Nothobranchius furzeri: one gene and its partners. The protein of the gene in region 3 purifies or fractionates together with the protein of the main gene of each other region. This does not show direct contact. Links are inferred from orthologs where the notes say so. Each region holds a gene or a part of one and is shown on either strand. Other genes may lie near its edges. The genes, in order: gigyf2, eif4e2, dis3l, hbs1l, exosc6, exosc1 and exosc8.

What was found.
Region 1: the proteins of dis3l (region 3) and gigyf2 purify together in Homo sapiens (affinity purification with mass spectrometry; 3 studies listed by BioGRID and IntAct, with this or other methods). This does not show direct contact. The link is inferred for Nothobranchius furzeri from reciprocal best matches to the Homo sapiens genes DIS3L and GIGYF2.
Region 2: the proteins of dis3l (region 3) and eif4e2 purify together in Homo sapiens (affinity purification with mass spectrometry; 3 studies listed by BioGRID and IntAct, with this or other methods). This does not show direct contact. The link is inferred for Nothobranchius furzeri from reciprocal best matches to the Homo sapiens genes DIS3L and EIF4E2.
Region 4: the proteins of dis3l (region 3) and hbs1l purify together in Homo sapiens (affinity purification with mass spectrometry; 5 studies listed by BioGRID and IntAct, with this or other methods). This does not show direct contact. The link is inferred for Nothobranchius furzeri from reciprocal best matches to the Homo sapiens genes DIS3L and HBS1L.
Region 5: the proteins of dis3l (region 3) and exosc6 purify together in Homo sapiens (affinity purification with mass spectrometry; 3 studies listed by BioGRID and IntAct, with this or other methods). This does not show direct contact. The link is inferred for Nothobranchius furzeri from reciprocal best matches to the Homo sapiens genes DIS3L and EXOSC6.
Region 6: the proteins of dis3l (region 3) and exosc1 purify together in Homo sapiens (affinity purification with mass spectrometry; 4 studies listed by BioGRID and IntAct, counting the BioPlex papers as one, with this or other methods). This does not show direct contact. The link is inferred for Nothobranchius furzeri from reciprocal best matches to the Homo sapiens genes DIS3L and EXOSC1.
Region 7: the proteins of dis3l (region 3) and exosc8 purify together in Homo sapiens (affinity purification with mass spectrometry; 4 studies listed by BioGRID and IntAct, counting the BioPlex papers as one, with this or other methods). This does not show direct contact. The link is inferred for Nothobranchius furzeri from reciprocal best matches to the Homo sapiens genes DIS3L and EXOSC8.

Annotation. Positions count from the first base shown.
Region 1 is NC_091751.1:53,327,342-53,330,841, reverse strand, and holds part of gigyf2 (GRB10-interacting GYF protein 2), read right to left. Parts: intron 3,132-3,500; coding exon 3,008-3,131; intron 2,914-3,007; coding exon 2,873-2,913; intron 2,768-2,872; coding exon 2,732-2,767; intron 2,574-2,731; coding exon 2,397-2,573; intron 1,809-2,396; coding exon 1,597-1,808; intron 1,500-1,596; coding exon 1,352-1,499; intron 1-1,351. UniProt on the Homo sapiens protein: Key component of the 4EHP-GYF2 complex, a multiprotein complex that acts as a repressor of translation initiation. In the 4EHP-GYF2 complex, acts as a factor that bridges EIF4E2 to ZFP36/TTP, linking translation repression with mRNA decay.
Region 2 is NC_091751.1:56,212,946-56,217,023, forward strand, and holds the start of eif4e2 (eukaryotic translation initiation factor 4E type 2), read right to left. Parts: upstream 2,801-4,078; 5' UTR 2,682-2,800; coding exon 2,662-2,681; intron 1,959-2,661; coding exon 1,847-1,958; intron 1,769-1,846; coding exon 1,634-1,768; intron 1,556-1,633; coding exon 1,451-1,555; intron 1,360-1,450; coding exon 1,207-1,359; intron 1,124-1,206; coding exon 987-1,123; coding exon of another isoform or gene 983-986; intron 1-982. UniProt on the Homo sapiens protein: Recognizes and binds the 7-methylguanosine-containing mRNA cap during an early step in the initiation. Acts as a repressor of translation initiation.
Region 3 is NC_091749.1:66,618,705-66,622,765, forward strand, and holds the start of dis3l (DIS3-like exonuclease 1), read right to left. Parts: upstream 2,801-4,061; 5' UTR 2,665-2,800; coding exon 2,535-2,664; intron 945-2,534; coding exon 794-944; intron 1-793. UniProt on the Homo sapiens protein: Catalytic component of the RNA exosome complex which has 3'->5' exoribonuclease activity and participates in a multitude of cellular RNA processing and degradation events.
Region 4 is NC_091742.1:466,625-470,124, reverse strand, and holds part of hbs1l (HBS1-like protein), read right to left. Parts: intron 1,186-3,500; coding exon 1,077-1,185; intron 1,003-1,076; coding exon 761-1,002; intron 213-760; coding exon 47-212; intron 1-46. UniProt on the Homo sapiens protein: GTPase component of the Pelota-HBS1L complex, a complex that recognizes stalled ribosomes and triggers the No-Go Decay (NGD) pathway.
Region 5 is NC_091744.1:81,855,985-81,859,406, forward strand, and holds exosc6 (exosome complex component MTR3), read left to right. Parts: upstream 1-1,127; 5' UTR 1,128-1,175; coding exon 1,176-1,453; intron 1,454-2,321; coding exon 2,322-2,862; 3' UTR 2,863-2,922; downstream 2,923-3,422. UniProt on the Homo sapiens protein: Non-catalytic component of the RNA exosome complex which has 3'->5' exoribonuclease activity and participates in a multitude of cellular RNA processing and degradation events.
Region 6 is NC_091746.1:82,291,581-82,295,654, forward strand, and holds the end of exosc1 (exosome complex component CSL4), read right to left. Parts: intron 3,146-4,074; coding exon 3,057-3,145; intron 2,986-3,056; coding exon 2,952-2,985; intron 2,865-2,951; coding exon 2,814-2,864; intron 2,590-2,813; coding exon 2,505-2,589; intron 1,134-2,504; coding exon 1,027-1,133; 3' UTR 501-1,026; downstream 1-500. Other genes in the region: knop1 (lysine-rich nucleolar protein 1), read left to right, coding at 1-124. UniProt on the Homo sapiens protein: Non-catalytic component of the RNA exosome complex which has 3'->5' exoribonuclease activity and participates in a multitude of cellular RNA processing and degradation events.
Region 7 is NC_091750.1:62,637,214-62,641,254, reverse strand, and holds exosc8 (exosome complex component RRP43), read right to left. Parts: upstream 2,701-4,041; 5' UTR 2,636-2,700; coding exon 2,619-2,635; intron 2,356-2,618; coding exon 2,319-2,355; intron 2,222-2,318; coding exon 2,158-2,221; intron 1,973-2,157; coding exon 1,899-1,972; intron 1,825-1,898; coding exon 1,779-1,824; intron 1,645-1,778; coding exon 1,539-1,644; intron 1,456-1,538; coding exon 1,410-1,455; intron 1,336-1,409; coding exon 1,239-1,335; intron 1,159-1,238; coding exon 1,038-1,158; intron 950-1,037; coding exon 843-949; intron 721-842; coding exon 602-720; 3' UTR 501-601; downstream 1-500. UniProt on the Homo sapiens protein: Non-catalytic component of the RNA exosome complex which has 3'->5' exoribonuclease activity and participates in a multitude of cellular RNA processing and degradation events.

The DNA of each region.
Region 1 (3,500 bases), on a different chromosome or scaffold from region 3:
ACTTTAAGTATCTGCTGATAACAGAGACCTGATCCAACACTTTTCAGCAAAGCATTAAAGTAAGAAGACAGAAGGATTCTCAGATACTCCTGTTTGGGGACGGAGGAGTCAGCCGGAGGAGAAAGAAGCTTCAAACAAAGTCTTATTTCCTGATATTCGGACATCTCGCCTCTGATTGGATAACAGCAACACGACTCCACCACTGACTCAGTTTGCTCTGCAACACCGATATTTTATCTCCACAAATAACACAAGGAGTTCTGTCGTGTGGTGGAGTTGCTAATGCTAACAGTTAGCTTCTGCTAGTCGAGATGTTCTCTGCCGTTTCCTGGACGCAACATCAACAGCCTTCCCGTCACGAGCCAAATGGGTATGAATGTGTGTGTGAATCACTGATTGTGTTGTAAAGCGCCTTGGGGGGCTCTAGAAGGAGCTACGTCAAATACAGGCCAAATGGATGAGTCCGTGAATGTTAACAGACATTGTGTCGTACATCTGCACCGAGAACTTTTCCAGGCTATTTTCACGTGATTGGATCATCTCTCATTTCACCACTTTTACACAAAAACACATTGTTTATGTTTATTACCAGGGTTTCAAAACACATCAAGGCTGTTTTAAAAACAATTATTTCCTTTTTAGCTATTAACATAAACCTAAATGAAAAAATTGATTCTACCCAACAGAGAAAAAAGTATTTATAGCGACTTTCCAACCAACAAAAAAGATGACTAAACTCTACTATGTTGCCTTCATAACAGCTTATTGTTTGTGTTCACTTGGCCTTTACTGACACTCCCTCATTCCTCTCTTGCCCCTTTGGCTCTCTGAGCTACCGGCAATTTTTATTTGCAAGCACAAACTATCAAACAACGCCTGAGCGCAGAGATTATGATGGGATTAAAATTTGTCGTCAGCAGGTAATCTCATCGTTTCAAATAGGCCGTTTTAAATGTTAACATCCAAGCAGCTTTTGAGGTAAAAACACAGAAAATGTGTCACCTTCTTTATGTGATGCAACAACCAGGGTAAAAAACTTGTTTCCCAACTTAAACAGAAACACCATGAAGGTCAAAAAGTGACTCAAATTACTCAGGAGACGCAGCGGTGAATCAGACTAGCTTAGATGATTTTTCATATAGATTATACATTTATTCTGCAACAATTCCTGTTAAAATAAAGTGTGAATGATCAGGAACATGTTTTACTATTAAACTTGTCTATTGTATCTTTTTACTTCCTTGGAATTATTTTGAAAACTGGGTTTAGTTTGAATTTGACCTTTAAATGATCTAATACCAACATATTTATCAATAAGAGAATCAAAAGTCAGATTATCAACACTACTGACCTTTTCTGTCTGCTTCCCTTTTGGCTTCTTTTTCTGATTCTTTGGTTTCCCTGGTCGGGGTATCCAGCTCCTCCAGGCCTTCGTCACACTCCTCCAAGGGTCTGAAGTCGAGCTCTGCTTCTTCTGGAATCGGTTCCTTTGAGGCTTTCTGATTACAAAATGACAATGTGGGGGGGGGGGGGGGACTATTGTCATAAACTTCTCAGTAATCTTTAAATAATCATTTGAGGAAAGTATCTGATTACCTTATGAGAGAGAAAGGCTCCAGAAGAGTCAAATGTGCCTGCCTCTTCATCTGCATCCTCTAGACACCACTCGGGTAAGCTGTCCCTCTCGTCATCCAAGCTGCCGCTGCCAGACCTCTGCCTTCTGTAGCCGCGCTCGTCTTCTCTTGCATCAAACGGAAAATGTCGACGCTGCTCCGGAAGTTCCCGCCAGCCTGCTGACCGAGGCCCATCTGGGGAAAAATGCCACATAAAAGGAAAACTAAAACAAAATCCCACATGTTCACTCCAGACAACGGGAGAAATAACACACATGTAAACACAATCATCTGAATGTTTGTTCTGCATTTTGCATGAATGTAAATCTTGTTGCAGTGCGTTCTGTTCCAGGAAAAGCTGCTGTAATCCAGGCACATAAATCTAAGGCAAAAGCCTCCATTAGATTCCGTTAGCTCAGTTAGCTCTTAGCTTCATCAGCTCAGAGTTTGTTGGGTGTCAACCACCTGCCCCCACCCCCACAGCCTCGACCCTAGCTCCATTATTATATTACCCTGGAGCGATGAGACACGTGATGCAGCCAAGATGGCGGTTGTGGGAACTGCCCACTGGGCTTTAATTCAGCTCTTCATAAAGCTACGAGTGACGGCGGAGGACTGGTCTATCTAACATTTAGTCTTTGGGCTGAACAAAAAAGCACCTTTAGGCCAAACGGGAAGCACGACAAAGACAAGAGATAACACACCCTTTCACTTATCAAAACTTATTATTTCGACAAGATGAATGTATGGGTAATGCTTTTGTCTTTCATTTTTAGCGCCCACCTGGGCTCGGGGGGCACCACCGGTCGTTCTCCCATTGAGAACCCAGCAGGCGCCAGCCCCCCTCATCACCCTCACCGTTCTGATCGTCTCGAGTAGTACGCCAGTTTTCACTCTCTGAACGCGTAAAGTCGTGCTTCCTTGGGAGTCCTGTCCCTCCGTCCTCATATGGGCCTCGAACTGTAAAAACACCACATTAGAACACCAGGTGATGGAGTGGGGGGTGCCGTTAGGATGAGAAACCCCAGGGAATTAACATTTTAACATCTATATGATGTAAATGATGGCATGATTTGGCTAAGAACCCAGAACTTTCAGAGGAATGCTTTTTAACTCACTGTGATTGATCTGAAAATGCCCCGGAGCAACATCAGCTACAACGACAGAGAAGAGCAAACAGGTGAGCTGGCCAACTTGCCCAAAAAAATGTTTGAGTATTGATTTTTTTTTCTGTTTTCACAACAAAATGTGACACCAACCTGGGTCCTTTCGACCTGGCTTTTCAAATCGTCGGTCCCCCCTAATAAATGGGGAAAAAAAAGAAACGTTTAGTCTTGACTAAAAATATATAGAAGAGATATGTGCAATATCAGGAAAAGATCTGGATTTATCACATTTTTTCATTCCAATACCGTTCCTCCCAGCTTTGAGAACGGTGCATTTCCCTTCCTCCGCGACCAAAACCTTCAACGTCATCAAAACTTCTTTGGTAAAACCCTCCGTCTCCTCTTCCCCGCCCTGAAATCAAAAGATGAAATACATCAAATGATAAAATTCAAAAGTTTGGATAAAAGCTGAATCCTGATACTGTACCAGCCTAATCCTTATTTATTTTGAATAAAAAAAGAGCTGAATCATCCTTCGACGAAGGATGATTCACGAAGTTCGTGAAGGTGCAATGCAACTGAGGGGACCCACCGAGCCACCATGCATATAAAACGGTGCAAAATATATGAAAGGTGCATAAAAAAAATGCACACAGTCTGTTTATAAATGAAATGGAATTTTAAGCTGTTAAAAACAATAGTCGTCTCTTATGGCACACGCCTTCCTCTGGTGCTGATATGGTTTGGAAAAATGTTGACAAAAATTGTTTGTGCTCTACGT
Region 2 (4,078 bases), on a different chromosome or scaffold from region 3:
AGGAGATGATTTTAGACTTCAGAAGAAACAGGGTGGAGTCAAACACTGTTTCCATCATGGGAGAAGAAGTGGAGGTAGTTGAGGAACACAAATACCTTGGAGTTCACCTGGACAACAGACTGGACTGGAGAAAGAACAACCAAGCTGTTTACAAGAAGGGACACAGCAGACTGCACTTCTTGAGGATGCTTCAATGTCTGTAGCAAGATGCTACAGATCTTCTACAAGTCTGTTGTTGAGAGTGTAATCTCTTCAGCCATCATCTGTTGGGGTAGTAGCATCAGAAGCAGGGACCTGAAAAGGCTCAACAGCCTAATAAAAAAGGCTGGTTCTGTTCTGGCGATGACTGTGGAACCGCTGGAGGAGATAATGCAAAGAAGGATTCTCCAGAGAATCAAGAAAATTATGGACAACCCTGAGCATTCTCTTCACAAGACTGTCAGACAACGGAAGGGTGTCTTCAGTCAGAGGCTTCTTCAGCTTCGCTGCAATACTGACCGCTACTGGAGATCCTTCCTGCCAACAGCCATTGTGATATACTCTTTGATGACTTGATTATTATTATTATTCTGAGCTACTACAGAAATCAATTTCCCTCTGGGAATAATAAAGTATTTTTGAATTGAATTGAACTCTAGTTATAACCAAACAACTAATTATTTTACATCCAGATTTTGCAATTTCTCTCAGATACAAAGAATGGTTGCTACAACATCTAGCTTCCATCACAACACATCTCATTATTCATATCTTGTCATGTATAAATTGTTAGTTTAGGAAAAATAATTAAATTAATTTTATAAACTATATACCCGACTCTGTCTGAATTGATACGAAGTGTGATCATGGTCCCTAAAGAGGCAAAGGACCCTAGAATCTTCTGATTAAATATTCAAAGATCAATCAGATTGATATTTCATTTTTATATGGAATCATCACATCTTATTGGTCGTAATTAGAATGTTTTAATTGCTACACCTACATACTTAATGCTGTCTGTGTGAGTCTTGTACTCCATGATGGTGTTGGGAGGCAGGTTGAGGACTCTACGTAGGGTGTCTCTGATGCGGGCTGTGGTCGCTTGGTCACTAGCTGTTTTGTTCCAGATAGAAATGATGTCCTCCTGAATAAAATGAAGTACATAAAAAGACGTTTCAGTGCAATGGGATCCAGCAGTTACATACAACATTGTGTTATTTGATTTACCTGGAATCGTACCGACACCACCGCCCCACAGATCTCCTCCCCTACCATGAACTGCTCCCCCAGCATGGCCAGAATCAGGTTCTCCCAACATCGGGACGCGAGGCCTTTCCTTAAACGAATGATCCACTTTCCACCCATTTTATTGGCATCATCCTAAACATGCAAGGGGTTTCAAATACGCCTTAGTACACAGAAAACAAAAAACGTTCTACTAAAGTATACAATTACTGCGACAGACACCTACTTCCCACATGGGTTTAATGCCTTCTTTGAAGAGGTGGAAGTCACTATGACCTGTCAGATCACCAGGCCTGATCATGTGACTGTAGAAACGCCAGAACTGCTCCACCTTGACAAGAATAAGCCACAAAATTAAATATGTGAACATGAAACAGCTGAAGCTGAAGTATAAACAAAAGTCCTTTACCGAGGCAAAGCTGCCAATCTGTTTGATGTTCTGCTCATAGCTCTGGGTGCTAGCTGGTCTGCCTGGGGTCCGCCTGGAGTACCAGAAGGTGTAGTTGTACTGAAGAGGGTGCTCTCCTGCCCCTGGAACCACCATCTGTAAAGGACATGGACAAATGTAAATACAGGAGCATATTTATCTACAGTAGAAACAATGCTCTGTAATCAGCCATACTTTTTTCTTGATAATAATTTGCTCCTTGTCATCGTCTTCGATCTTTTCCTTTTCGCTGTCTTTCGGTGATCCCTGATCCTGCTCATGATCTCCACTGTCATCGTCTTTCAGCCTGGATTAGACACAAACCATCAGATATTCATACGTCTGTCAGAAGACACTTTAATGTAAAGCCAAGTGCAGTTAACTCTAGATTATCATGATAAATGATAATATCTAAATATGTAAAAAAAAAAAAAAAGGATCAAAACTAACCAGCTGGCCTCAAAGACCCACGTCAAAACAACGCTATTTAAAAAACTTTACGTCTTAAATCTTGAAATTTTATTTATTTATTTTAAATTAACCCCAATTAAGAATCACACAAAAACAGCACCGGTATCATCACTTTTAGCAGTAAAAAGTCAGAATTTGCTCCCGTCTGTGCTCGTGATGAAGGCCGTGGGAATCTGGTTCTAGTCGATTCTGTGTGCACCTCCTCCGGCGTCCCAACTACTCACACACCGGGGATTAGCGGCCTACCCGCTTTCAGACATGCTAAGCTAAAAGCACACACACTCACAAGACAATTATTTGTATCAAAACCTTTACTTATTTAAAATATCACTATATTTTATGAAAAATCCACTCGCTAAAGTGAACGTAAGTTGTCCACCTCAGCCAACGGCATATCGAACTACCATGCTATAAACCTGACACACCTCTCATTTAACGCACAATTCAGCTTTCATTAACGTTCTAGCTTTCTCTGAGTTGTTTAAAACAACGGGAAGGTCGTGCGATGCCACATAATCAAATATAAAGCCTTAACTCACGCGTCAAATTTGTTGTTCATTATTTTTTAGTCAGGAGTCTGTCGGAGTCCAAATTCTGCCTCCTGAGTTCCGCAGGAACGGCGACGCACATCTTACACACATGAACGCGCACGCAGTGATGAGTCGGAATCGGAAAAGAAGTCAGCAGGTGGCACGCGCTGCTGTCAAATGTAGTGTTGTCCAAAAGTTATATTTTAAGTGGCTTGAATGAGATTAGTCGGTTTTCCTAAAGTGTGTTCTTGGACCTTGGCACTCATCACTGAACTATTCAGTAATTAAATATTTCCAAACTCAAGGGATGAACCAGTAAATGAGTCTCAATTGCAACAAGTCATATGACGTTCGTGTAATCCTATTTATTTAGGTAAAACTATAAAAATATCTCCCCAAAACAGTTCACACATAAAATGACTTTTAGCATGAACAGAATTGACAGATTATGTAAAATTGTCATAGATGATCCATCTCTCATGTCCTTCTGTAACAGAGCTTTGCAACTTTTACATCCTTGAAAAAATATATTACATGTTCTATTTAAGTAACTTCTTAAATGTGATCATTAGTCTTTTTCATTACCATTTTCCTGTTTTTCAGGAAGAAGCACAATATGCAGAGTAAACTAAAAGTGAGTGAAAATTCAGCCAAAGTTTAAAAATAACTAATCAGATGTATAACTTTACAAAACACCTGGCTCCTCTGAAGTGTAAGACAGTTGTAGCTGAAAACGTTTGCACAGCTGTGACCCTGGTGCAGAAACACAACATCAAATCCAAGTTACGTTTGAACATTTTATTCACCACATGTTGATATTTTCAAGCATAATAAATAAGAAAAAGTACCACTCGGATCACTTTTTTACAGCTTTGTCAAAATCTGCTCCTCCCGGCTTGAGTGACTAGGAACCTGGTGACTTCAGCTCACGGATATGGACGGCTACGAGCAGACACCCACATACACACAACAGCACATGTGCAGCCGCAACACAGAGAACCGACGGCCTCTTTGTTTGAACTCACATCCTCTGATGTGCCGCAGTACTTGTTTCATCCCTTCGCTTGCCCTCTGTTCTTGCGGCGACTTCAAACCGTGGCTCTGTTCAGGTCCAAGCAGAGCTCTGGACAAAGTCTGGGGGACCACAGAGGAGGTGGAGGGTGAGATGGGAACAAAGTGGACTTCTATTGATGCAAGTTGGATCAGTTTTTGTTATAGATGCGAGCCGATTTGTGGGTAAATAACCAAAATACCGGCTTGTGTCTAGAAACAACACTGCAAACTTCATAAGACGCATTATGTATGTGTGGGTGGGGGGATGGTGTGGTGGTGAACAGGATGCTCTAGGATGGTATGGCATGGCGTGGTTTGGTTGGCTCCGCAGTTGCAGACCATACCCTCACCCCTTGCTCCCTGTGTTTCTGTG
Region 3 (4,061 bases):
GGTCTGGTCGGACGGCAACCGCTGCTTTTCCTAAAGGCTTCGGTTCCAGAGAAGGTCAAGCTGTCATGGCCTGAGGTATATTGTTCCCCACACTAACCCTTCTCCTGCAGGTGGGCGGTGCCGGAGAACTGCCCAGCTGCAGCCACTCAGCTGCAATCACCGGCTGGCTATATGAGGGGCAGTCTGAGACCTACACGACGTCGGATGATTAACTCGTTTGGGTATATGACCTAGTCTCGAGCTCTGTCGCTATCTTTGAGCGTGTTTTGTTTTTGTGCCCTTGCTGATTGCATTTTCCTACAGCAGATATCACTCTACATCATCCCGCCAGCCGATCTCTCTCTCTCTCTCTCTCTCTCTCTCTCTCTCTCTCTCTCTCTCTCTCTCTCTCTCTCTCTCTCTCTCTCTCTCTCTCTCTCTCTCTCTCTCTCTCTCTCTCTCTCTCTCTCTCTCTCTCTCTCTCTCTCTCTCTCTCTCTCTCTCTCTCTCTCTCTCTCTCTCTCTCTCTCTCTCTCTCTCTCTCTCTCTCTCTCTCTCTCTCTCTCTCTCTCTCTCTCTCTCTCTCTCTCTCTCTCTCTCTCTCTCTCTCTCTCTCTCTCTCTCTCTCTCTCTCTCTCTCTCTCTCTCTCTCACACACACACACACACACACACCAGAACCAGCTGCTAATGGTTTGTCAGGAAAACTTATGAGATGTTCTCCATCACTTTGGAATAAAAAAAGACGGTAGACTGGAGTTCTTCAGACAACCCACTTCACCCTCTATGTGTGTGTGTGTTTGTGTGTGTTGTACCTGCGCCCTTTACTCTGCAGAGCCTGGCAGGCCGTCTGGGTGAAGATGACTCCCTGCAGCTCCCTGAATTCCAGGATCTCCAGGAAGTTGACCACCACCTCCACCCCCGGCACCACATAGTGGGTCAAGTCTCCGGGCAACACCTTGCCATCTGTTGAGGGGTCATCAGGTCGTTACCATGGCTACACACAACATATTCACTGTTTTATACAGAAATCAGATGTTCTGTTACACTGATCTACCTGTGATAATAAATCCATCAGAGAAAATACAAATATTAAATTATATCGGTCCTCTAACGTTCGGTTGGACAAGAATGTGAGTCTACCAACAGCTCCAATCCATCCATCCATCCATCTTCTGAACCCGCTTTGTCCATGTAGGGTCGCGGGGGGGCTGGTGCCCATCTCCAGCAGTCAACGGGCAATTAGGCAAGGTACACCCTGGACAGAGAGCCAGTCCATCGCAGGGCAACACAGAGACACACAGGACAAACAATCATGCACACACACACACACACATAAGGACAATTTAGACAGACCAATCAACCTAATAGTCATGTTTTTGTACTGTGGGAGGAAGCCGGAGTACCCAGAGAGAACCCACGCATGCAAAATGAGACCATGCAAACTCCATGCAGAAGGATCCCAGGCCGGGAAGCGAACCCAGGACCTTCTTGCTGCAAGGCAACAGCTCTAACCACTGCACCACTGCGCAGCCCAACAGCTCCAGTCCGAGTCATCAAATCAAGTTTAACCAATCTGCTTGTTAAATCTGTTGGAGAAAATGAAGTTTAAAGCAAAATTTTGTTTAAATGAATCAAAAAAAATCTTTACAGTATGCTCTAATGGGAAACAGGTCTCAACACAAACGGTTGGTTTCTGCTTGGTCCTAGAGCTCAACCAGTGTCAATTTAGTATAGCGTAATATTGTTTTTGGATGGTAAAATGTGCAGGGGTCAAAACTTGACGTTGGAAAAAGTGGGGAGGGACATGCCCCCCCCCCCCCCCCCAATTACGTCCATGCATTTACTGATTAGTAACAAACGATTATAAAACTTTCACTATTAATAAACATTGTTTTACACATTTATCTCTTCACTTGTTGCCACTGATGAAAGGAGGTCTGATGTGCTTGTCATTTTCCTGAAGTTTGCACTCCTCAGGGCTTTTTGACCCTAATAGGCATCCGTTGGTAAGGTCTTACTCCAACACAAAAATGCTGCTTGCTTGCAATGTTTTAGGTGTCTACTGCTCCCCATCAACCAGGAAAAATACACACTGGCACATTAAAGACAGTTTTAAGTCTGTTTGGATCGCTGGTACATATTATATAATAGAACAGTCCTTTGTCTTTATGTCTAACTGTTTTATCTTGTATGTTTTTATCTTATCTGTTTTTCTTTAGTGTAAAGCTAACTATGTGTCTGTTGCTGCTGCATCTTGGCCAGATCATCTCTGTAAACGAGAATGAGCTCTCAATCGACTCATCTGGTTAAATAAAAATAAATAAAGGTTTAATAAATGAAGGACTGGAAATAAAACACTCGTTAGCTCTTAGTGGCTGGCTGTGTTTTTAGCGACTAGATGTGTTTTATCGGCCGGTTTATTTAGTTATTTTTGTTTGTTTTTTGCGACTAGTAGTGTGTTTTATAGACTGGTTGTGTTTGTAACGACTAGTTGTGTTTTAAACGGCTGTTTGTGTGTTTTTAGCAACTAGTTGTGTGTTTTGGCGGACTTACCGTTAGCACAGGCCGCCTGACACAGAGAGCTGAAGCAGGGAACCCGCTCCCTCAGATAGTGCTCCCGAACCACCCGAACCCTCCGGCCTCGGTAACTCTTCAGGTGCAGAATCTTCTCGGTTTTAATCATCCCGAACTCTGAACCGAAATGGATCAGCAGCCGCTGACCCAAAGTTTACAAACCGGAACTTTAAAGTGAAGACTATGTTTTGGCGGACTTGTGAGAGGGAAGCTCCAAGTGTTGTGCCGAAAAGAGCATGCCTGGCGAAATGTGCATCCCCGTTGTGGAAAGGCGCTTAAAAAGTACTATTAATGTAATATTATTATGTTTATCTGCGTGATTCCTTACAAAAAGATCGTTTGTAGGCAGATAAATTAAAGAAATTTATGTTTAAAACATTTTTATTTGAAGAAATAGTAATAAAGTAGTAATAAATATTTTAAAATGAGTAATTTTGTGTCACGTGTGTTTTTTAAGAACCAACAACAAAATAGTTGGGAGAAAGCACAAAAATACATAAAAAATGCTCACTAAAACATTATTCTCAAACGTTCAAAAACGTAATTTTTTTATAACTATTTCATCATATTTGTAAACAAAAACAAAACGCTTTCACGAAAAACACGTAACAGAAGCGTGTTAGCCTCGTCGCTCATAAAGTATTCTAGTTTACCTCTATGCTTATTTCATGGGGATACGCATTTCGGCAGGCATGCTCCTTTCGGCACAACACCTGTTTCCGTGTTGAGAGAGTCGGAGCCACGGTTGGTGCTGTCCTTTTGCGTTCATGTACTGTCGGACAAAAGAAAACTCATGGATTCTCTTCTGTCCCGCAAACAGAAATTCTTCAGGTGTTTTTCAAAAGGTTTTTGAATTTACCAGAATTTTCTGAAATAAACAAAAAGACGACGTTTACAAAATATGTTCTAGGGGTTGATTAAAAACACTTTTATCTGGAAAAGTTTCACATTAAAAAATTGTTCACAAAACAGTTAAATGTTTGCTTAAAGGTATCTGTGTTGAACTAGCCTGGCAAGCCAGACTAAATAAGTATATTATTTGTATTTAAACTTAAAAGGGAGGAATCTGGTCTAGTTTTACTAGCCTAGTATTGAACACCTTTTCTGGTTAGAATACTAAACAGGAAATTCTGTCATCAGCACTTTTTTTCCCCCCTCTGTGGCAAACAGCAAATCTTTTATGATTCATGTGATGAATTTATTGTAGTATTGTGAGAGGTTAAACATTTTACAGGAAGCCTCTAGGTGGACCTAGTGTTCTGGATGCAAAGTGGGGTGTACTTTAACATTAGACAAGCGGAAGTTCGTTGCCGGGAAGCATGGCTGTACCTGTGTTGGAGTAATAAATATTCCCAAAGAACAACCCACTCTCCGTGAGCTTATTCTTGCCACCAGAGGATATTACATTTATATACAATTTTAAAAAGACCCAAAACATTTTTTTTACAACTAGAAACTGTTTTTTGAGCCTTTGTACAGCCTATGAAATGTTGTTGGGGTCTACAA
Region 4 (3,500 bases), on a different chromosome or scaffold from region 3:
GTATATTTGACTTGTTCTTTGTGTAGTTGTAACAGTCTGGGTCTACCTGTCCCTCTCCTCGCCAGTTTCATCCAGAACCCATGCGTAGGCAAAGGAGGCTTTTCCTGCCTTTTTTGACTCCTGCTCGTACTTGTGCATGGTGCGCTTGTTGACGTTGCCCAGCAGATAAAGTAGGTGGCCCATTAATGTGCTCTTACCAGCATCCACATGACCTGAAGAGGATGGAAAAAATGAGTTATGAAGGTATCAAAGAGAGGATGTTTGAGGACCTGATGATGGGGAAAGCGAAGATAAAAGAAAGAGGAAGAATTAGCGAAAGATGATAAGGCTGGTGAAAGGAGGAGGCAAGATAAAACAAGGAGAAGGGAAACCGGGGAGGAGGAAATAAGAATTGCACAAGTGAAGAGAGGCAGACACATATGGGGGGGGGTAGGGGGGGTTGACCAGAGCAACACGAAAGGTTTCATTCTCTGTGGGAAGCTAGAATCATCTGCAATTCTGAAACTACACCGTCACATTTTCTGGTCTGAGAATGAGAAAATACGGCTGAGTAACTGTGCCAGTGTGAGGTTAACTCGTTTGACATTAGAACACCAAACATGGAGAACCTCAGAGTGCAACTAATCATTTTCCAGCACCGGCTCAGTGCAACAAACATGCTCAGTATCAAAAAATGATTCCCTGCAGATTTGCTGCCTTTCTAAGCTTCAGGCTTTGTTTTTATTTGAATTTATTGCATCTTACGGTCTTTGCATCCTACCTATAACTACTAGGTTTAAAAGTGGTTTTCCCTGTTGTCTCTTCTCCAGCTCTGCCTTGATGTTGATCGTCTGACGGGACTTCCCAGTAGAGCGTCCCGGTGTGGCACCAGAAGGGGTCTCGTCCCCATTGGACCCTTTAGACGGAGTCTCGGGTCGTTTCAAGGTGGCTTCAGGAACAGCTGCATTCTCCGGGCTGCCACCTCGCCGCACCGACGTAACCACAAGCCCGTTCTCCCCTGTGCTGAAGACAAATGTAAGGTGCTAAATACAGAACTAATCCCCACTTGAATCTTGCAGAGAGTGGTTCTTAGATACCTCGGAACATCGAATCCCATGGTCTGCTTCTTCCCAGAAACGGTCATGCGGGCCACTTTGGGTACCACTTCAGATTCCAGTTTGTTGTGCAACAAATCTCTGCTTTTGGCTGAAGGGATCAAAGAGCAGATGAAAGCATCCATGATCGGCTGACACGTTCAACACAGGGAGCAAATTCCACATCATAAATCAAATTCAATGTGTGATTTTAAAAAGTAAAATATTCAGGACTGGGATTATTGTTCTAAGATTATCTTGATGCCATTGTTCATTTGTGTTTTCTTTGTGTAGGTCACAGAAATAGGCCTTTTCCAACAGCACTACTCAGCATGACTCGGGAGGGTGTGGTTCAGTTTGGCCGCCTTTTCCAACACCTTTCCCCCTACGCTTCAGTCCCTGCTTCGTCGTGGTTCCGATGGCTGAGTAGCAGCGGCAGCAGAGACTCACATGGCAGCACAAAAGGATGTAAAACAAGTTTTGTAATATGTCGCCCTTAAATATAATTTTTCCGTTTTAGAACAAGCCAACCTTGCATTTTCTTACTTAGTTTAATCTTGCAGTGCTGAGAGACACAACAGATAAAAACCAGTCAAAGCTGTACTTTGGCTTGCAAAGTGTGTTTCTTTGATTGGAGTGAGAGTCCCTGGTGCAACCGGCTGTAGCACAAGCCTCCCCTATCTGACTGGAAGCTCATATTCTTTAGCACTGAAACTTCTTGAGGTAAACGCTGTGTCATTCCAGACGCGAATGGTCCCCATTTCCAGTCATATCGACCCGTTTCTGATTCATTCAGCCTGGGCTGCACAGTCAAGCCTCCTGCACACCGAGTGCATGTGTGTGAGAGTCTGTTTGCATCTGACATCCTGGCTCACAAAGGGTTAATTTCAGAAGTGGCCGTTGCCTCCCGTCTCCACGTAAATAGCTCTGGGTGACGCAGCACTTTCACAGAATGAATCTTGGGTTAAGGTGTCAACTCAGCAGGCGCACAAGGCTGGACGTGAAAGAGTTTCATCAGAAATTCAGTAAGAGCAGGTTAAAACCTGACTGGTTTCAGGTTGAAAAACTGAAACTGATTCAACTTTTATTGCTTTTTTACTGGAACACTTTGGTTGCAAAGCTAAAAGTGAGACTAGTCACAAACTAATGCAACAAGAAATACTCTGAGGGTAAACAAGAGGGAAGAGGTATAATACAGCAGCACATTAATGGACTTTCTCTAACCAAGCACTCTCTAAATGACTTGTTCTGCACTGAAGAAAAAGTCCCTTTCATAATGAAACACTGATATACAGCTCACTGCACCCTGATGAGGCTTTTCTCCCCTTTTAAATTCAGGCCACCCCAGTTAGACGCTTATTCCCACATACTCTGATCTATGTATGCATGTGGGAGAAAGAATTGAGCACATTTGTCATTATTTTATTATAAAACCAACAAAAACCTTTCTTATTATCACAAAAAGTGCAAAGTATATTAAAAATCTACAAGATGCATGCAAAAATAATTGGTACATCTAATCTGCACAGAAAATGAGCAAATAAACAAAGCTTTTGATTATTAGATAATGAAAAATAAAGCTTTTATTGTCCCTGATTCAAATATTTCAGGTTCGACTGGACAAAATGAACCATCCATCTTTGTTTCTGTGAGGAAAAAAGGCCAAAAGATAATGACAGAAATGTAGAACCAGCTAATTTATTAATTATGTGACACATTTAGGTAAACCTCAATAAAACTTGTTACCTGATCCATCATAGATATCAAACTACACTCCCCTGACATCCTAACCAATGAAAACACAGTAATGCTTTTGCAAACAATGAAACTACAAACTCATTTTTCTTTTTTCTTTCAGCCAGCCTCGGGGCAGCATTAACTACAGGGTGGCGTGAAAACAGATCAAGACGATCATGCTTCGAGGCTCGGAGCAGGATCTCTTTAGTGTTTGGACAATGAGGCAGACGCTTGGCATGCTCCCATACAGGATTTCTCTGGAATACTGGGACCCTTGCTGTGAGTCATCAGCATGCTTTGGCCTCAGGATTGAACTTAGTACACATAAAAGAAGGAGTCCACCCAGGATATGCAAACATGCAGCATCCCTCTGCCTCTTCAGTTCAAATAAACACGCGAGTGCAGATGAAAGTAAAATGACAGAAGTACACGGACCAACTGGGGTGAAGGAAATACTCGAATTCTACAATCCCACAACAGCACAGCTGCTGTTGATTATTAATACTTACAAATATTTCCTTAAATTTAATTGGTAATTAAAATAATTAAAAATACAACAACAAAGAATTCGACTATTTTAAAGCTCCATACCACTAGAGACCGCCAAAGGCAACAAATATTCAATTTTTCTTGTCATGAGGGGAAAACGAGGGGGAAATTTTTGATCTAACCTAATCTGGTTTATTTCAA
Region 5 (3,422 bases), on a different chromosome or scaffold from region 3:
TTGCGCTGCGCAAGTATGTGCGCAAGGCACATCTATGATTCAATTTGCCTTTAATTTAGACATTCGCACTAATTTATTACATAGCGTTTTTTAAATGCAACGTAGTAAAATAATGAGTTAACGCTGCTGTGTATGAACGACTTTCTACAGGTAAAAATGTCTTTGGCCGCCTCACTAAAACTTAATACGTGTCAGAATTGTGTAAGTTTGAAAATAAAGTTATTTAAAACCAATGAGAAGGACATTTTGGATTTGTTAGTTATAGCCATATGTATGTATATAAATACATATATGTTTATATATACATAGTATGGTTGTTGCGGTACATCCAGCAAATTCAACATTACAAAGCAGTGAATTGTCTTGCAGGTTTTTAATCTTTGGTTGCTGGGTAACTGTCGCCCTCTTCTGGCTAACACCTGTCATTACCACAAATGAAGTGTTAGCAAAGAAATAATTAAACCTACACCATTTTTTACTTTTACATATATTTGAATTTATTAAATGAAGTAATAATTATACAACGATACCGTGTCTTCTGATGAAAAGATCTTAAATAAAAAATATAAATATCAATATTTAGTCATAGAAAATATGTCTCAAGTGTGACTGAATTATTTTTATGTTTATGTATTTAGCAGACGCTTTTGTCCAAAGCGACTTACAGGTGAAAATCAAGCCAGCAGGTTACCCTTGAGGCTAACAGTAAACACTATGCAGCCAATCCTGTTGTTAGACGGTATGTAAATCTCTTATGTATTTACTATTAAGAACTTTGTCCAACATTGTCCTTTTTAATAACATGAATCCAAAGTGAATAGAGTCATTTATTAATCAGAATTTTATTTTGAAATTTTAATACATTTCTGGGCTTTAATAAACTGCAAGGTAACTATAACATTATTGACTGGTATAGTGTGTGACTTAAATACTTTTAAAATACAACAACAGTTTGTTGCATCGCTTTAAACTACATAAGAAAAAAAAAGCTGATGAAACATTGCGGAACACAGTAGGAACTAAAATTTGAGGGAACTTTTCCGGAACACAGTAGGAACTAAAATTTGAGGGAACTTTTCCGGAACACAGTAGGAACTAAAATTTGAGGGAACTTTTCCACTCCCGTTGTAGTTCTTTGGGGACACATTTATGAGCGATCCACTTCCGCATGCACCATGCCGACAGATACGAAGCGGGTTCGTGGTCCGGACGTTTCTCAGAGCCCCGTGCTGCTCGGGTACAAACCCGCTGCGGTTCTAGCCTCGCGTGGGCCCCGAGAAGACGGTCGGCAGCGGGACCAAGTTGACGTCCGGCCGGTCTTCGTCCGCTGCGGCCTGGTGAGTCAAGCTAAAGGTTCCGCTTACATCGAAGCTGGAAACACGAAGCTGATCAGCTGCGTTTACGGACCCCGAGAAACCGATCGGAAAGACGAGACCGATATGAAAAGTGGGAGGTACGCTGCTTTATCACAATCACGTTTTCTGCTCGACAGGTTCAGCCTGATTGTTCATGTGTTCGAAAGTGAAGTTCGAGTGTTTTTTGTGATCATCAAACCTTCCCATTGGTAGAAAGAGCAAATGTTCTGGCGGCTAGAGGGAGATTTGAATCCTTAACTTACCCTAGGCCAGGTGATGTAGGTGAACTCCTTCCCAGTGACACTCTTAACTCAGCCTAGGAGAGCCAAAGGTGTTCCCAGACCAGGCAATTTACAATCAAACATGTCAGATTAGTTAGTTATTTGAATTATTTAGGTCAACTGGATATAAACAAGATAATTCAGTCTTTTAGTAGCAGGCTTCCGAGAATATGGACTTTTCCGCCCTCTGGCGGACAAAAGCAGTTACAGCTTCCACGAGACTAACCCCTCAAAATAAAACAAACCACTTTTAAGTTTTTTAATTGGTGCCAACAGCACAATTAGTGTAGATAACGAGAAAGTCAGAGCGTGTGCACATATACAAACTACGTAACTCTTAAAACTTAATACATCTATGAGTTAAACAGGATTAAATCAACAAGCTAAAGCAGGGAGCATCAGCAGCTAGCTACAGCACTTAACTCATCAGATATCGCGCCCTCCGGTGGCAGCAAGGCGAAATGATTGTAGACTTGAAGAGATTTATCTAACTTTTTTTTAAATCAAATTTTAACCCAATAAAGCAAATTAGCTCAACCAACAGGAATTTGTTTTTATCAGTTTTCCAAGCGACTCGATCATTTTCCTTTACTTAACCTGAAAACAGAAGATTATTTTCATCGGATTGTAATGTTTGGGATGGTTTTGTTTGGGAAAATGATCCTATGTGCGTTTCTGCTTCCAGGCTGACCACTGATGTGCGTTTCGCCCCTTTTTCCTGCCCAGAGAGGGTCCCGTGGATCCAGGGCAGCCAGGACAAGGACCTGTCTCTGATGCTGCACGAGAGCCTGCAGCCGGCCGTGTGCCTCCAGAGATACCCGCGCTCTCAGATCGACGTCAGCGTGATGGTTCTGGAGAACAGCGGCTCAGCCCTGGCCCACGCCGTCACCTGTGCCTCCCTCGCGCTCGCGGATGCGGGGATTGAGATGTACGACTTGGTGCTCGGATGTTCCCTCCAGCAGGTTGGGAGCTCCTACGTGGTCGACCCGTCCTACCTGGAGGAGAACGGCTGGAGGTGTAACAGCAGCGAGAGCCGGGGCGGGCTCACAGTGGCCTTCCTGCCCAGTCTGAACCAGATTTCTGGGCTGCAGTCCGACGGTGAGATGTCTGAGGAGACCCTGACTGCGGGGGTTCGGACCTGCATCGAAGGATGCTACAAACTTTACCCGGTTATCCAAAAGGTCTTGACCAAAGCGGTCCGCCGGGCGGCGCCCCCGTCTACCTGAGAGACGCTCCAACAGCTCAGCGTTTGACGAGTTTAATATGTAATAAAATAGCTAACTTTGTGTTGGTCTTTAATCTGGTTGACACACAAAAAAATTCTGATTCATGAAAAGGTAAAAAAAATAATTAGTTTGAAATTCCCTCTTCCTGTCGAGAGCCTCTCACCACCAGAGGGCGCTGTGCACCTGAACACCACCACCAGAGGGCGCTGTGCACCAACAATCTGTTCTACTTCAAATGTCCTCCAATTATTTCTTCTAATACAAGCCAGTTAGAAACTAAACCTAAACGAAGTCTTAAAGTTAAACTAACATATCCGGTGTTTATTTACCTTTTCCACCGGAATATTTCTAGTTTTTGCTTCTGTGATCCTTTTCTGGAACCCTTTAGTCTTTAATCAACCTAAAAAACCAGCTTGACTACAGATCTGTGGGACGTTCTGGACAAACGTGTCCCACTCACCTGGAACAGGAGCTCAAGAAGAGCTGGGTCAGAACCACAGAAAACACAAAAGGAGGTAAAGTTCTTTATTTTTCTGTTGGGAATTTGACAAGAGAATGAC
Region 6 (4,074 bases), on a different chromosome or scaffold from region 3:
GCGAGCCCACTCACGCAGAATGGACTTCAGTAAAAAGGGGGCGGGGCTTGGGTTTAACGCCCCACCCAATAAAAAGTTCTTCATTGATGTCAATGCAAGTCGATCAATTCGCTTTGATGACTGATCAGGAAGGTGGATGTTTGGATAAACCTTTTTTTTTTATATCAGCGTTGTAAATGAGTTCAGTCTCGTTAGTTTCACTTTAGAGGTGATCGAATGTTGGCTGAGTTGTACAAAATGTAGATGAAACCATCAGTGTCAAAACCGGATTATGTAAAACAATTCAAAGCAACGCCTCTGTTAGTGTGAATATTTTAGTTTTAATGGCTTTGATACATTTTGATGTTTTGAAAAATAAATCTACAAAACCAAAGTTTGCCATTTAATTCTAAATGTGACACATGAATTATGATGTTCAGTAAGTTACAAAATGTTTAATTTGAAGGATTGTAGAAAACAATTGAATAGTTAGGTGCACAAAGCAGGAACTGCAGACAAAGTAGAATCAGTCATTTTAATTTATTGTACTTTTGAAAGTTAAACAGCAAAGTACATTTTCGTAAAAGGCAAGGCTTATGTACGGTTGACTCAGTTATATACAGGAAGGTAACTTAACGTTTCATTATTTTCTACGCTGTAGCTGCATCAAACATTTGGTTTAGCGCTGGGCTTTCCAACAGTGAACAAATGTCTTCATCAGCTTTAAGCCCAAGACAGCAAAACACCAGCACGATTTGTGACGAACCATAAAGCGTAGAGCTCTTCCAGCTACCGTTACTGGCCCTTTCCAAAAATAAAAATCATGTTTAACTTCTGTGTTCTTGGGTCTGCTGGTAAAAAACTAACTGCTATTGTTTACCAGTCAGAAAAGCACAATGAAAGGATGACAAAATGTGCAGCTGTTTGAAACACTTAAACCAGAAGTGGCCCGTGAATCACATGATGCACAGAAAAACAAAAGCTGGAGCAGGAGCTGCTTGAAGGAAGATGGAAGTTGCGTGTACCAAGTGAAGACTGTCCAGGCTGTCACGCTTCCAAATACTCAGGCTGGACTCGAGCCACTTTACGAAACTCTTTGGCGTGAGTCAACGGACACTGCATCTCGCACCAGCTGATGGGAATCATCTGGGCTCCTGGTTCAGGGGAAAATGTGGTAAAAATGTTAGAAACATGCAGAAAAATGGGAAGTTATTTACAAGAAAAGAAAGTAGGGAAAATACGACGGAAAACACCTGTTTTCATGTCAGCAATATTAAAAGGCTCTTACACTTTTTCCAAATGCAAATTTGGTAAATGGCCTGTATTTGATATAGTGCCTTCTAGAGTCCTGGAACCCCCCAATGCGCTTTACAACACAATCAGTCATTCACCCATTCACACGCTGGTGGGGATGCGCTACGATGTAGCCACAGCTGCCCTGGGGCGCACTGACAGAGGCGAGGCTGCCGAGCACTGGCGCCACCGGTCCCTCTGACCACCACCAGCAGGCAAGGGGGGTTAGGTGTCTTGCCCAAGGACACAACGACAGACTGAGTGGGGCTCGAACCTGCGATTACGGGGCGAGCACTTAACCCTTTTGCCACCATGGCCCAATTTAGACCTGTTGAGAATTTTTGAGGCTTTCCAGCTATGTGTTCAAGCTGAAACCATTTCACACATGAAACCAGTACTTTACTTTTAGAAATCTATTTTATTTATTTAAAGGCAGCTTGAATGAATGAATGTTAATGCTACAAGTTCTGCTGAAGCTTTTAATGGCCTACACATCAAAACATGTATGTGAACAAAAAACAATGAACAATTACTTTAAAAGAATTGTTAGAAAAAAATCTAAACATTCAAGAGTAATTTTTTTATTTTATTTTATTTTTTTTTCGAAAAAATTACCATAAGATCACATATGTACATTTAGAAGTGCAGTGAAGAACTTTGCTACAAACCTGCCATATTTAGTCCTATACATGTCTACTGCCCCCTGGTGGCGGCTCTACAGATGGTGAGGGCCAAATTTTTTTTCTTTATTATTGTTATATTTTATTTAACTCTATTATTATATAACATAGGACACAAGATAAAGAAATATCTTTGAATAAAATAGTTCTTAAAAATAGATAATTATTAGTTGATGATTTACAAAATGAATTCAACTACATTTTTAAGAAGCTTAAAGTATTTTTGGCCAATTTTAAGCACTTTTCAAACCTTGAAAATACGATAAGAAATGTTTTCAAGCGCAAATAATTAGCTACTAAATCAGATAGATAATATCTTTGCATTTGGTCGGAAATTGAGAGTAATAATATTTAGCTATGATGAAAATAACACTAGAGAATTAATCAGTAATGCTGTCATTATGGAAGTTAATAATGTTACTTAAGTTCTAATCAGAAATCTTTTCCTCCCACTTTGGACCCCCTGCTGTTCCTGCAGAACCTGAGTGAGCTGGTCAGATCTGAGCAGCTGTTTAGTTTGGAAAGATGAAGTGAAAGAGGTGAGGAACGTACCTGCCTCGCTGTGGGCCACCACCACACCCAGTTCATTCTCAGCTGTTGTTAACAAGTAGTTAGACTGAATGTCACCGAGAGAAATCTGACATCAAAGGTCAAGATTAGTAATCAGTAACGTTCAGACTGAAGCACCGGAGTCAGTAGTAACATGTGAACATTGTTTGCTGTCATTTCTAAGATTCATTCATTCATTTTGTCCCATTCAGCTCAGCAAATTTTACAGGTCCCAATGAAACTGGGTTATGAGCTGAAAATAGCTTTTAAATTTGTTTGGTTTTCTTTCTTGGAGAGCTTGTTGAAGGATACCACTTTAGCCAAAACAATGTCGCCCGTTCTGAAGCTTTTGTATATCTCCACCTGTAAACAAAACAGAACCATCAGTAAGGAAACAGAAGGAGCAAAAATAAGTAAACAATCCAAGTAAAAGTACGAATTCTAGCTCACTTTATCCTTCTCTGTTGCTCGCACGTCTTCTTTCCTGTAGATACGGAGAGAGTGAGCTAAGAGTTTAGGAAAGTTAATCAAACTGGATTTACGTAGTGAGGTTACCTGATGGTCCCTCTGAAGCGGTCCTTCAGCGGTGTGGAACCCACATACAGGATGTGGACTTTGGCAAACCTGGGGTTGGTGCTGGTCACCTTTAAAAGACAAGTTAGTAAAAGGCAAACCTGAACACAAAGTACTGACATCTGTGAATGCACTGGCTGTCCCCGTCTTGAGTTTTAGTGCACGTTTCAGATATGATCATCTGAGTTTAACTGGTGTAAAAAATGATAAAGAGCTTAACTTAAATGTTTCTTTTGGTCATTTGTATGATGTTTATTATGTTGCACTTTGTTTGTTTTTAAGGTGATTTATGAATACATTTTATTTGAAAAGGCACTTTTTTTTCTTGATTTGTGTAAAAAAAAACACCCCCTAAATACATATAATACAAAAATAACTGTCCTTAAAGGGACTTTACAGAGGTTTGATGCTTTTTTTATGCTCGCGATCGCCCCCCTCAGGCCAAAAGCGTAACGGCAGCTTCAATAGTAGGCTCGTGCACGAGGCGTGCATGCTGTACGTGCACACTCCTTAACGAAAATAACAGCTGAGGCAGTCCCTTGTGTGTGTGTGTGTGTGTGTGTGTGGCCCGGAGGACAGAGGATAGGAGAACACGCAGCTAATTAATTAAATAATGTGGTTCTGTACCTTTCTCTTCAGCACAGCCGACAAAGGTTTATGATGGGTCAGTCCTCCTGCATGCTCAGATCATTCCCTTCCCTTGCTTGAAAAATTGTTCCAAAATGAAAGTTGAACCCACATCTTTTTTATCTGTGAATTCAATGCCGTTCGGCGAGTCTCAAATAAAAATTTGGGTATCTTACTGTAAAAAATATACCATTAATGTAAAAAAGAAACTAATTAAACTATGTTTACATCCAGAATCGAACCCGGGTCTTCTGCACGAGAGTCCAACATCTTAATAGGTGAGCTAAAGCGCCAGTGATGTCCTTTGTATCTGTAACGTTTATATCCTTGATGACAGCTGAAACAACGTTCAAAGAACGGTTCGGAGCGAAAA
Region 7 (4,041 bases), on a different chromosome or scaffold from region 3:
TTTATGATTTGGTTCTCAGATGTTTTCTGAAAACCAAACCTTTGTCCACTGTGGGGGAACTGGTTTCTACAGCAGGAAGCCCGAAGCTCTAAGAGCCTTGGTGATATTTTTTTTCAGATGATCAAGAAGAAGACGGGTCTTGTAGGTAACGAGCTTCCACGGTTACATATTTCTACTTTCGGAAGACTTTTCTCTGCCGAGGCCCTGTGGAGTGAGAGGACATTTTAAAGAGAATTTCGCATGAGGCTGCCCTTTAAGCACAGATTAGCAACACCAAGCCGTCCACGTGTCCACGACGTGAAAATGCAAATCTGATCTTGGGGAGTATTCCGGCGCAGGGCTCACGCGAGGACTCAGAGTCATCATGCAAGACGGCGTGCGTTTGTACAGCAGATTTTCAAAAGGTGTTACCTTTTAACAAGGAGCCATGAGCATATTCTTACATGAATTAAGACATCAGCTAAGTGTGCGTGAGACATTTCTGGACACTGAAAAGATAATTTTTTTAAGTCTTTGTCAGCAGTTTTATTGTTATTAAAAAAGAATATATATTGACAGTGGAAAATACAACTTTTAGATAAAAAATGTTGTCTGAGTGTATTTATTGAGCTGTCTTCATGCTTTTTATGACTTTCTCAATAAGTTTGTGGATCTCTCCCTTTCGTGCCGTTGCTCTTTTGATGCACTCCTGCAGCTTCTCTCCCGACAGTGGCGTTCCACCTGGAGGCAAAGTTTGCAGAGCCTTTTATCCCCGTTTTCTCAAAATACTCAAAATAATCTGAAGCTTTATTTCATGGCAGAAGCACCACAAATCTAAAGATCACAGATGTGCCATCTCTGACCTGGTTTATGTAAGGAGCACAGCTGATCTTCCTCATCCATCACCACAGTGAGGCGTGCCGTCGACAGGCTCTCCTCCTCGGCGGTGGGGTCTACGATCAGTATGGAGCTGCACAGGAAAACCAAAAAGGCTTAAAGAAGAACAAAATGGCACTTGTACCTAAAATAAAAATTGAATTGAAATCAAACAAACGTACTCATCAAAGATGCAAAAGGAGACGCTGACTGGATGTCGGTGAATGTTAAGTTTGTGTTTCTTTTCAAAATTCACCTCCGGGGCGGACGTCTCTTTGTTGATGGTGACTTCTGGGAGTTGTGCTGCAGGGAAAGATTACTAAAAGATAGATTTATTTTATTTATTACATGCACCGTTTCAGTAAAGTCTCAACCCTACTTACTGGTTTTCAGGGCAGCCAGAAGGGCGACAACACAAGCATCTAGGATGTTCCCGTCATAGTCGAGACACATGATGTCACAGTAGAGGACCCAGCAGAGCTGCAACAAGATTTAGCAGAATTATGATTGAATATATTACAACAAATAAAGTCCACACATGAGTCTAAAATCACCTTTCCTCGGCCAATGCACAAGTCTTCTTTCTTGATCACCTCAGAGCTGCACGACACATGAAGGTTAAGTCAAAGCAGTGGCAGAAACACTACAGCTGGAAACTAAAGGTGTTTGAAGGCTTAACACACCTCTCAATGATATCAGCGATGAACTGGCTGGCAGCCTGGGCCTGTTCCCCTGGTGGGCCTGGTCGGAAGCGGGACGAACACAGGGGTGGCAGGTCTACATTGGGCACTTTTTTAAAACATATATAGACAGATGATGATGTCATAATAAAATACAGAATCAAACAGAAAATACGAGATAAAGAATTAAGCAATGAAAACCTGATGGAAACAAGGAGGCTGTAAAATGTGTTCAGAACTTACCTATGTAACCTTTACCAGGTGCATCCACAGTAGGGTTAGTCAGCTCCTGCATATGAACACATGACTTTAACACCTAAAGAAATCTTAGCAGTAGCGGTTTGAGTCATTGTGCACCAGTACCGCTTTGATGCCACAGATGATCGTGGTGTTTCCCAGCTTTACCAGAGCGGAGCCGTCTGCAGTGGAAATAGACCCTGAACAGAAAATAAGTAAAAACTGTTACAGCTGGCAGTGATCAGCCCTTTAGGCACTGGAAAATGTTGGAGTTGAAAAAATATGAGCCGACTCATTTTGTATTAGAAGTACATATTATTTTATTTACATCATATCTAAAATTATGTTTTATTACAGGGAGGAAACATTTAATTTATTTTCTTACCAATGTTTAAGGTTGTACTTCTAAATTCAGACAACTCCCGCCCATCAGGTCTACAATTTTCTTTCTGCAAATGAAGCATTTGCAATTACAATGACACTAATAACAATAATAATAACATTTATGGGTTTCTACTGGGTATAGTTTGTATGTATTTGACGAACCAAAAAGCTCCTGTGATACTCCAGAGGCTCCGCCGTCCTGAAAGTTTAAAGAAATTAAATAAGACAAATTAGTAACAAACACGTGCGATCCTGCAATAAACAGCAGACCGATAAATCTAACAAATAAAGTGTACTATCCCGTCACTAGCCCAACTGACGTCACAGAAATGTTGTTTCTGTATTTTTTGACAAGCAAACTAAATTTAGATATAACACTGAACATTAAATATATCGATGATATATATTTGATGAAAATCAAAGTCTGAATATAAAGAAAAATACATGTTAAAAATGACTTACTTGAAACCAGCCGCCATGATGTTTTGATTACCCACGTGAACTACGGTGGCCGCGACGAAACTGTGATTACCAACGACAAGTGTGCATTACCGCCACCAACTGGACTGGAGTTCGGAAATGAACGAAAAACTGGCCAACAAATTCGTCTTTTTCAAAAATGAGTTGGTGTTGTAAGGTCAATAAAACTTTCAAATTGATAACCGGTCACAATTAATAAAGATTAAATAAAACTCGATATATTAATTTGCTAAACAAACAATATTGTAGTGTTTAAACAATTGACAGTGAATAAATATTCCTTACAAACTCCTCTTTCCTAACCGAACAATCCAGAGCAAAATTGTGGATTCTCTTATGTCTTCAAACTGAACTTTTTAGTTAGAATGGTTTGGATCATTCTTTTAAAATACAAAATTAAACTGTTAAACAAGTCATGTGTTTTGATGTTGGTGTGTGTGTGTGTGTGTGTGCGTGCGTGCGTGCGTGCGTGTGTGTGTGTGTGTGTGTGTGTGTGTGTGTGTGTGTGTGTGTGTGTGTGTGTGTGTGTGTGTGTGTGTGTGTGTGTGTGTGTGAGCAGTGCATGCATGGCAACTCGGTTTTCTGATTATTTTCTGCTTTACTGTTTTCTTTACTCAACCTCAAACGAGCAGTTAGATATCTGAAGATTGTCTTGGTCTGTTGATGTTTTGTTGCATTAACCCTCTGATGCATGAATTATGAAATCTTCAACCATGATTTTTTAAACTATTTTTTTCATTCATCTTTAGGTGTGAATGAAACAAATTTCAACAAATATTTTTTGTACCATTTTGTTAATTTACAAATACTTTATTACATGTCCATCTCAGTGGACAATGTGCATTCTGAACATGAAATATGGTGGCTTGACTTACTGAAGTCCAAATGGAAGGGCTCATATGCAATAAAGTCTTCAACAGCTGTGCTTAATAGCAAAAATAAATAAATAACAATTTTGAGTAACTGTCCACTGTAGTGACCGTTATGCACCAAAGGGTTAAGCAGCAAAATAAGCTCAGTTTTTGTGCTGGAGCAGGGAAACAAGTAAAACATGATGGATATGGAATATCGAGGCCCAGGGTTAGAGAGGTGGTGTAAAAAATAGGCGTCATTGCTTTTTAACTTCACTAGCTGGTGGGCCGGTCTCGGCTCAAAACGAACTGGCTGATTTTTTGTCCCAGTCCAGCCCTGTTGGGGACCCATGGTCGGAAATAGATGGGTGTGACTTAGCTTCCCATTGAGCGTGAGACACGTGTCTGACCCCTTTCACACACCTCCTCGTGCATGGAAACCATCACAAGTTGGCAGCCCTGTAGAAAATAACTTAGTTCTCTTGCATTACTCACCTTCTGTTATTCTATCAAAGCTGTTATAACAAATCTGTTAGTAAGCTGGGTTTTGAGAA